2 linked regions of the Caenorhabditis elegans genome follow. The protein of the gene in region 1 interacts with the protein of each later gene in a biochemical or structural test. Each region holds a gene or a part of one and is shown in the gene's direction. Other genes may lie near its edges. The genes, in order: ubc-16 and rbx-1.

The links.
Region 2: of the proteins of ubc-16 (region 1) and rbx-1, one has a biochemical effect on the other in vitro, tested with the Caenorhabditis elegans proteins (one study listed by BioGRID).

The regions. Positions count from the first base shown.
Region 1 is NC_003279.8:14,820,306-14,824,594, forward strand, and holds ubc-16 (Ubiquitin-conjugating enzyme E2 W), read left to right. Parts: upstream 1-1,744; 5' UTR 1,745-1,763; coding exon 1,764-1,870; intron 1,871-1,923; coding exon 1,924-2,029; intron 2,030-3,124; coding exon 3,125-3,356; intron 3,357-3,414; coding exon 3,415-3,428; 3' UTR 3,429-3,685; downstream 3,686-4,289. Other genes in the region: let-49 (Mediator of RNA polymerase II transcription subunit 7), read left to right, coding at 119-209, 332-419, 544-763, 818-888, 945-1,236. UniProt on the Caenorhabditis elegans protein: Accepts ubiquitin from the E1 complex and catalyzes its covalent attachment to other proteins. Together with ubc-18, required for the ubiquitination of membranous organelles, and the removal of paternal mitochondria from early embryos.
Region 2 is NC_003283.11:9,689,043-9,692,596, reverse strand, and holds rbx-1 (RING-box protein 1), read left to right. Parts: upstream 1-2,074; 5' UTR 2,075-2,076; coding exon 2,077-2,151; intron 2,152-2,201; coding exon 2,202-2,408; intron 2,409-2,593; coding exon 2,594-2,644; 3' UTR 2,645-2,911; downstream 2,912-3,554. Other genes in the region: ztf-9 (C2H2-type domain-containing protein), read left to right, coding at 461-570, 620-707, 766-997, 1,046-1,449. UniProt on the Caenorhabditis elegans protein: Component of the SCF (SKP1-CUL1-F-box protein) E3 ubiquitin ligase complex, which mediates the ubiquitination and subsequent proteasomal degradation of target proteins.

The DNA.
Region 1 (4,289 bases):
ACTGCGCTCCTCCGTACTCTCACGTTTTTCATTTTTCTTTCTTTTATTATTATACTTCCCTTCCTTTTCAGCTCTGTTTTCATCGTTTTCAACTCATTTTTTTCAGTTTTCATTTAAAATGCTTCCTGGTTTTGGTGCACAAACAGTCAGCCCGTTCCCAAATCCTCCAGAGTACGCATCGGCGTATACAAGTGATCGAATCAATAATGGTAAGGAGTTTGAATTTTGAAATTTTGAAACTAGCAGTTTTTAATTCAGCAAACAGTATTTTTTTTTGTTAGAAATAAAACGCAATTTCTCTAACAGATTTCTCATACATCACTTTAACAAGATTCAGGTTCGGCACCACCTCCGCCGCATCCACTTACGGAATTCAAGGTGTACGGAGAGGAATATCGATTGGAAGATGATGTCATCGCGTAAGAAATTTTAGCGGCTATATAAAAACCAAAAACATGCTGAGTCTAGCCGAATTTTCCCACCTATTTTGCAAAAACCTTTTTCAATACGCGGGAAAAACTAGAATAAAACATTCATTTACAGCCCTCTGAAAAACGCCGGTGTTGCTGAGCTCTACAAGAACAAAAATAATTGGAAAACCGAGATGAAGAAGTTGAACAGGTCCGCCATAGTCGCATTTTTCGATTTGGTCGAAATTCTGATTCGCGCTCCCGATCACCCAATGAGAGAGGAGAAAATGGTCGATTTACACACGATATTCATTAATATGCATCATTTGATCAATGAATTCCGGCCAGTTCAGGTAGAAAAGTGTTTTAAAAATGAAATAAAATCTATATTTTTCTATGTTTTTCAGGCTCGCGACAGTGTTCGAATTTTACAAGAGAGACAAATCGAAGAATTATCGGATATTTGCAAGGATTTTAAGTTAGTCAAATCGGAATTAAGTTTTAAATTTGTATATTTTTTCTCCTTTTTTCCAGAAAATATCTGCGTGATGGTCGAGAAGTTGTCGATGACCAATTCCAAATGATCCGTGGGAAGCTTCCAGCTCCACCTCAACCTTCGGAACTGACACGTGTCAAACTGCAAGACGGAGTGCTTCATATGCTTCAGGAGACAGAAGCTTCAGATGACGTGGAAATGAAAGAGGAAGAAGGATCGGAATATAGTAAAAAGAAAGCGAGGCTGGAACTATTATCAAGAGAAGATGGACCACCGAGTGTTGTACACTTGTTAGCAAGACAGTTTCATGATATCTCACTGAAGAAATAATTAAATAATTTCATTTTAATTTATTTTACCGGGTTTTCGAACTATGATTTTGACTCTGATGATCTTCTGAAATGCTGTAATTAAAATTTCGTTTAAAAATAACTTTTTTCAATCGTTTTTTCATCTTTGTTCTGTTGAAAATGCGTCAATTCGCATTCTTTATTTCGAATTATTTTTTATACTTTTTAGGCAGCTTTCGTGTGACATAAACAATTATCTTCAGGGAATACGTTTCATTTCGAAAAACAGTGTTTTTTCTTCAAAAAATTAAAAACCTGAAAATGAGAAAACTAAAATTTTCGGTTTTTTTATTTTAGAGGAAAACGCCAATTAAAAGCGCAAAGTCGTACGTAGCTTTTTCGATTTTATTCTTTCTATAATTGGAAATTATGAGCAGAAATTATTGATTAAAAATCAATAATTTAAGCCAAAAAAACTGTAAAATTCTCTTCTCCTCGAGAAGTATACGAATTCTGCGTGAATCAACACATAATACCCCTAATTTCAGACGCCTCCACTCATCAGGAATGTCAGATGCTGCGACAAGACGACTGATGAAAGAGCTGGCTCAACTGAAAAGTGAGGCTCCAGAAGGGCTTTTAGTGGATAATACATCAACAAGTAACGATTTGAAGTACGATCGATTTTTTCAGTTTTAATTTGAAATTAATACGAATTTTAATTTAGACAATGGAAAATAGGAGTCGTCGGCGCCGAGGGAACATTGTATGCGGGTGAAGTTTTTATGCTGCAATTCACGTTTGGTCCTCAGTACCCGTTCAATTCTCCGGAGGTAAGAACAAATTTATTTTCGTGAAAAATTGGACTAACTAGAGACTCTTTTTTGGTGTCCAGATTGGTGGAATGTTATATTTTCTGAAAGTTAAATACAATAAACATAACGAATTAAAAAATACAATCTTGCTCAAATTGATGTTGGGACAATTTTTTCGTCTTTAAACGCGTAATTAAGCCAAAAAATCATCATAAAATATAAATCCATTTGGTACTTTTTGGCTTAAATACGCATTCGGACTCCGAATTCGTATATGTATATATTGGAAATTTTCGGCAATTTCGACAATTTCCGGTTTTGGAAAATTTCGGCAATTTCGATAATTGCCGGTTTTGGAAATTTTCGGCAATTTCGACAATTTTGTCGGTTTGGGAAATTTTCGGTAATTTTGACAATTGCCGGTTTTGGAAAATTTCGGCAATTTTGACAATTGCCGGTTTTGGAAATTTTCGGCAATTTCGATAATTGCCGGTTTTGGAAAATTTCGGCAATTTCGATAATTTCCGGTTTTGGAAATTTTCGGCAAATTTCACAATTTTGTCGGTTTTGGAAATTTTGACAATTGCCGGTATTGGAAAATTTCGGCAATTTCGACAATTGCCGGTTTTGAAATTATTATTATTAATGTGTAGAAATAATTGGTTAATATTTTTGTAGTTGTTCATAAATAGAAATCTGTGACGCAGTCTAAGATATACCACTCTGAAGAGAAAATTGTAATTTTTGCAACTAATTTTCGGTACCTTCTCAAATTTAAGATATCAAGGAGTGCTTTTCGTTGCCAACTATTTTTAATCTGCGTTATACAAAAGTTTTCCAACTGCATGAAACACTAACATTTCCATTCAACCCAAAAACCAAAAAAATCGAAAAAATTATTTTTTCTTCTCGACCACTCGAAGGCAGATGGTGCAGTCTGGAAGTTGTCGGAATTGGTTGGTATTTATAAATTTTTCACTACTCACTAATTACTATGTAATTACAAAATAATATTTGAGAAAAAAATAAAAACTGAGAACAAACGAAAAAACTTATCGATCACCCTAATAGTATAACATTGTTCAATATGCACCCAAATCATCACTTTTCCAGGTGATGTTCGTCGGCGAAACTATCCCAGCCCACCCGCACATCTACTCAAATGGACATATCTGCCTGTCTATCCTATCAGATGATTGGACACCTGCTCTCAGTGTTCAATCCGTGTGCCTCTCGATTCTGTCAATGCTTTCATCGTCAAAAGAGAAGAAACATCCAATTGATGACGCTATTTATGTGAGAACGTGCAGTAAGAATCCGAGTAAGACTCGCTGGTGGTTCCATGGTCAGTTTTAATACTTAATTCGAAAATTCGAAACAAATTAAACACAATTTTTTTTCAGACGACAGTGTTTGAAGGACCCCTCCAATCTTCTTTGCTATGTTCTCCCGCCGAATACGTGATACCAGAAAATAATTGACCTATAAAATTATTTTTTTTTTCCGCAATTACTCTTCTCCCTCTTTTTTGCCTTTTTTCATCATCAATAATCCCATTCAACATGCCACCTTCAATTATACACACCTTCTTCCTTCCTCATCTTGTCTCCCATGCCATCAGTGTTTTCTGATACGTTTTCTTTTGTTTGTGAATTTTGTAAATAAAATATGCATCTTTTTAATTATTAAAAAACAACAACAACAATTAATTGGATATTATCTCGATAATTCTCACGCAGCAAGTACGGTACATGGTCTTGAAACGGCCAGAGGCACAGTACTCCTTTTTTAGAATTTTCTTTTGAGACCACGTACCTTAACATTTTGCATATTGGGGTCCCTATTCCATAAGAATATAATTATTACTGGTTTTTAAAAATTTAAATATCTTAGCCCACGGGTCCTGGCACGAGCGAACCTTTTTTAGCTACAGTACCCACATTTGATAATATTTCGATACAAGGGTGGGCGGCAAACGATTTTCCCGGAAAAACGGCACACTGCCGGAATTAAAATTTCCGGCAAGTCGGCGATTTGCCGGAATTGAAAATTAGCAGCAAAACAGTAAAAATACATAAGAAATTATATTGGATTATTGCGAAATATTTGCGGGTACTGTAACGGAAAAGTTGCGCGCGTGGCAGGACCAGGATACCAAGGCTTAAATTCAGATAATATGTTCCATGTAATTTTCCCTTTTCTTCTTTGTGGCCAGATTTATTCAGGTAATTGCTAAAATCAAACATTAAAATATGGTTGAACCGATTTCCAGCAAGCT
Region 2 (3,554 bases), on another chromosome or scaffold:
GTTCTCTCACGTTTTCATTTTTCCAACAGTTTTTCCCACTTTTCTTCCGCCCATCCCGCTCCTTTTTCTTTTTTTCCTATCGCCACAAAAACACACACACACACACAGCAGAGAGAAAGAGATAGGAAGAAGACGAGTCGTCGCATTTTTGTCCTCTCTCTTTCCCTTTCTCTCTCCGTTTCAATGTAGCGCGAACCGAGCGATGAGAAGAAGAAAAAAGAAGAAAGAGGAGAAGAAAGGAAGGAGAAAGGAGGAAGAGACTGGCCATTGCCCGCCCGGCCTTCTTCTCCTCCTCACACACACAAAACCACCCCCTTCTCTCCATTTTCCTTCCTTCTTCTTCTCACCATTCTTTTCCTTTTTCCACGCGTCTTCAGTTGATTTCGAACACATTTTGTTAACCGTTCGCTTCTAAATCTATATTACTAAATTTGCAGAATATATTTATTACATTCAAAAAATGAACCGACTACTGGGATGTCTAGATTGCGTTCAAACTGAGGCCTACAACACACTGGAAGATCTCGAAGCACACATTGCTAGTGATCATCTTAACATATGCCCATATGAGTAAGTCTTTAACTTTTAATATGTGGTGAACGTAGCTTTACTATTTTAGATGCGAAAAATGTAAGTACGCTAAGTTTCCAACGGAATTCGCCCTTGTCAGTCACTGTATGAATGATCATGGACTCACCGAATTTTCTGTAAGTCTCCAATGTTGAGAGACGCAGAAAAAAAATTCAACAATAATTTAAATTGCAGATAAAATATCGCTACACACCGGAGTTGAGTATGAAAAAGAAGGAACTGACCCAAAAGCTCGAACGGTGCATTGCAATGAGTCGATCTATGCGGATTGAAGGGAAAATCAGCGATGCGGTGTCAAGCACAGTGGAGAACAGAGTCAAAGTCGAAAACTCAGAAGCAACTGGCACACCTATTCAGTCATCTTCTCCTGTTGTCTTCGTAGATAATGCTTATCATGCCTTTCTAGGTAAACTTACACATAATAATGATTCCCACTCATTTGGATTTAATTCAGACGAAACTCTGGCACGTCACGAAGAAGAACGTGGAGCCGGTCCTTCATTCGAGGGAGCATCTGATGGCGGTGGTCCGATCAAGCCGAAGCAACAAATTCAATGTTCTCTTTGTGGAGACGTTGTTTCCAAACAAAGATCAAGCATGGTGTATCATGCAAATACGCGTCACGGAAAATATGAGCTCTACGAGTGCGGAATCTGTCACAGAAAATGGCAGACAATTGCAAAATCTGATGTGATCAAGCACATAAAAAGCCATCACGAGAGACCCGACGGAACCATCGACTGCGACATGGTTATTGACTATCGAAAAAATCTAGGAAACAAGCTGAAAGAAATTACTGAAAAATGTTTTCCGGAGCGAAAGAAAAAGAGAATTGGATACACGGATTTGCCAGAATAAATATCTTGAAACGATTTAAAAGTTGTTTTCTCATCGTCCCAATTGTTAGAATTACTGTTAAAATACTAACTGATACGGTTTATTTTTGTTAAATACAATTTTTCTTTTTAACCTGTTCTTCTTTGTTCGTTTCGGCAAGAAATAAGACGCGACGAGTAAATTTTAAAAAGAAAGCGAAAGCGTGAAGACAGAAAATAGGTGAGTACGGTGTACGCAAATGCGCGTAGCGTCTGGTGTGTGCAGACAAGCGTTTTTGATGATTCTTTCGAAAGAATTTCGGCAGTGTTGCTCAGTCTGATTTCATTTTATTTATTTTACAACAGCGTATCTCCTTTTTCAATACATATTAGCAATAATGTCAAGTCCTTCATGTTTCCTCATTTTCTATCGGCGGCTTTGTACAACAATGTTGTATTAGGTTCGTGAATCACTTGTTCTAGGGTACAATTTTTCATAAAATCTGATACAACAATTTTATCAATCATATCCTCTATTTAGTTTAGGCTTATAGTATTATAGTATGCATAAACATGTTCAATATTAAGTATTTCATTATATCATCAATGCTACTTTTGCGCTCTTATTTTGAAATGATTACTGTTATTCTCATTTGTATTTTTTCCAGAAATGGCCCAAGCAAGCGACAGCACAGCTATGGAGGTCGAGGAGGCCACAAATCAGACAGTTAAGAAGCGTTTCGAGGTAACACAGATACAATGTTACATGCTTTAACAAACATAGTGCAATTTAAGGTCAAGAAATGGAGTGCCGTCGCACTTTGGGCCTGGGACATTCAGGTCGACAACTGCGCTATTTGCCGCAATCACATCATGGATCTGTGCATCGAGTGCCAAGCGAATCAAGCAGCCGGGCTCAAGGATGAGTGTACCGTTGCATGGGGAAACTGTAATCACGCTTTCCACTTCCATTGCATTTCTCGTTGGCTGAAGACACGACAGGTAGGTTGCTTTTAAACGTGCTTATTTTTGAAAAAATGATATTTATTCAAATGTCAAAGCGGAACAGAAGCCTGCCGCATGCATTTTTGTTAAACAACTTTTGAAAATTTAATTTTTTTCAATTACTAAGTACTCGTAACTAGCATTTCAAAAAGCTTACACATTTTCTAATTCTATCTTTTCAGGTATGCCCATTGGACAATCGTGAGTGGGAATTCCAAAAGTACGGACACTAATCGATCTTCATTCTTCTGCCAACCGCCCGGGCAGTTTCTTCACACTTTTTTACTTGTATTCACTGATTTTTCTTCTATTTCCTTTTGTGAATATGTATTCGTCCCAAAAAAAAGCACATTAAAATCCAGACGTGTTAGTCTCTATGTGATCTGACACTTTTCATTTGTTTATTCAAATCTCCAATCCCTTCTGACCTTCTAAAATCATCCTTCCTCGCTTGAATATTTAATTTTTCTCCGCTAAAAATATAAATATGAACTGTGTCCTCTGGTCTCATAATTCTCAACGAGACAATTCTCGTGCCGTTTATGTGCTTAGGCTGTTTAGGTTCAGGTTGCGGGCACCGTTCAAGCCGCCGGAGCAAAAGGAGGAGGTCTCGTCTCGCGTAATTTATTTGCAATTCGGCTAAAACGTTCAAAACCGAATTGCAGCACATTTCTCGCCGCTTCTTCGTATTCCTTTCCGTAATAATTGATTATTACGATTGCTTGTTCGTTTCTGTGCCAAAGTTTTTTTTAAATTTTGGATACTGATTTTTGTAGAGTTCTCTCATTAATATAGACCAAGATAATTTTCTGCTTTTAAAACTGTCTACAAACGTTTATTGTTCAATAATCGACGTTGCTAAATTGCGGATATTCTTAACTTCATGAAAAGTGAAGTATCACTTTAAAGGCGCACACTACTTCTCTTGGCTGGGTCCTGCCACGATTTCAGATACAGTAGTTCCTCCGAATGCCAAATTGCACAAAATTGTTCATACATATTTAGAAGTGTTGAAGTTCACAAAGTAGGGCAAAACTCAATGAAAATTATACACATCGGTTTATTTTTTTTAATATAACTGCCACTCGAAAATTTAATTCCCAATACTTCTAGACTGTTTTTTTTTCATTCTGAAGTAACTTA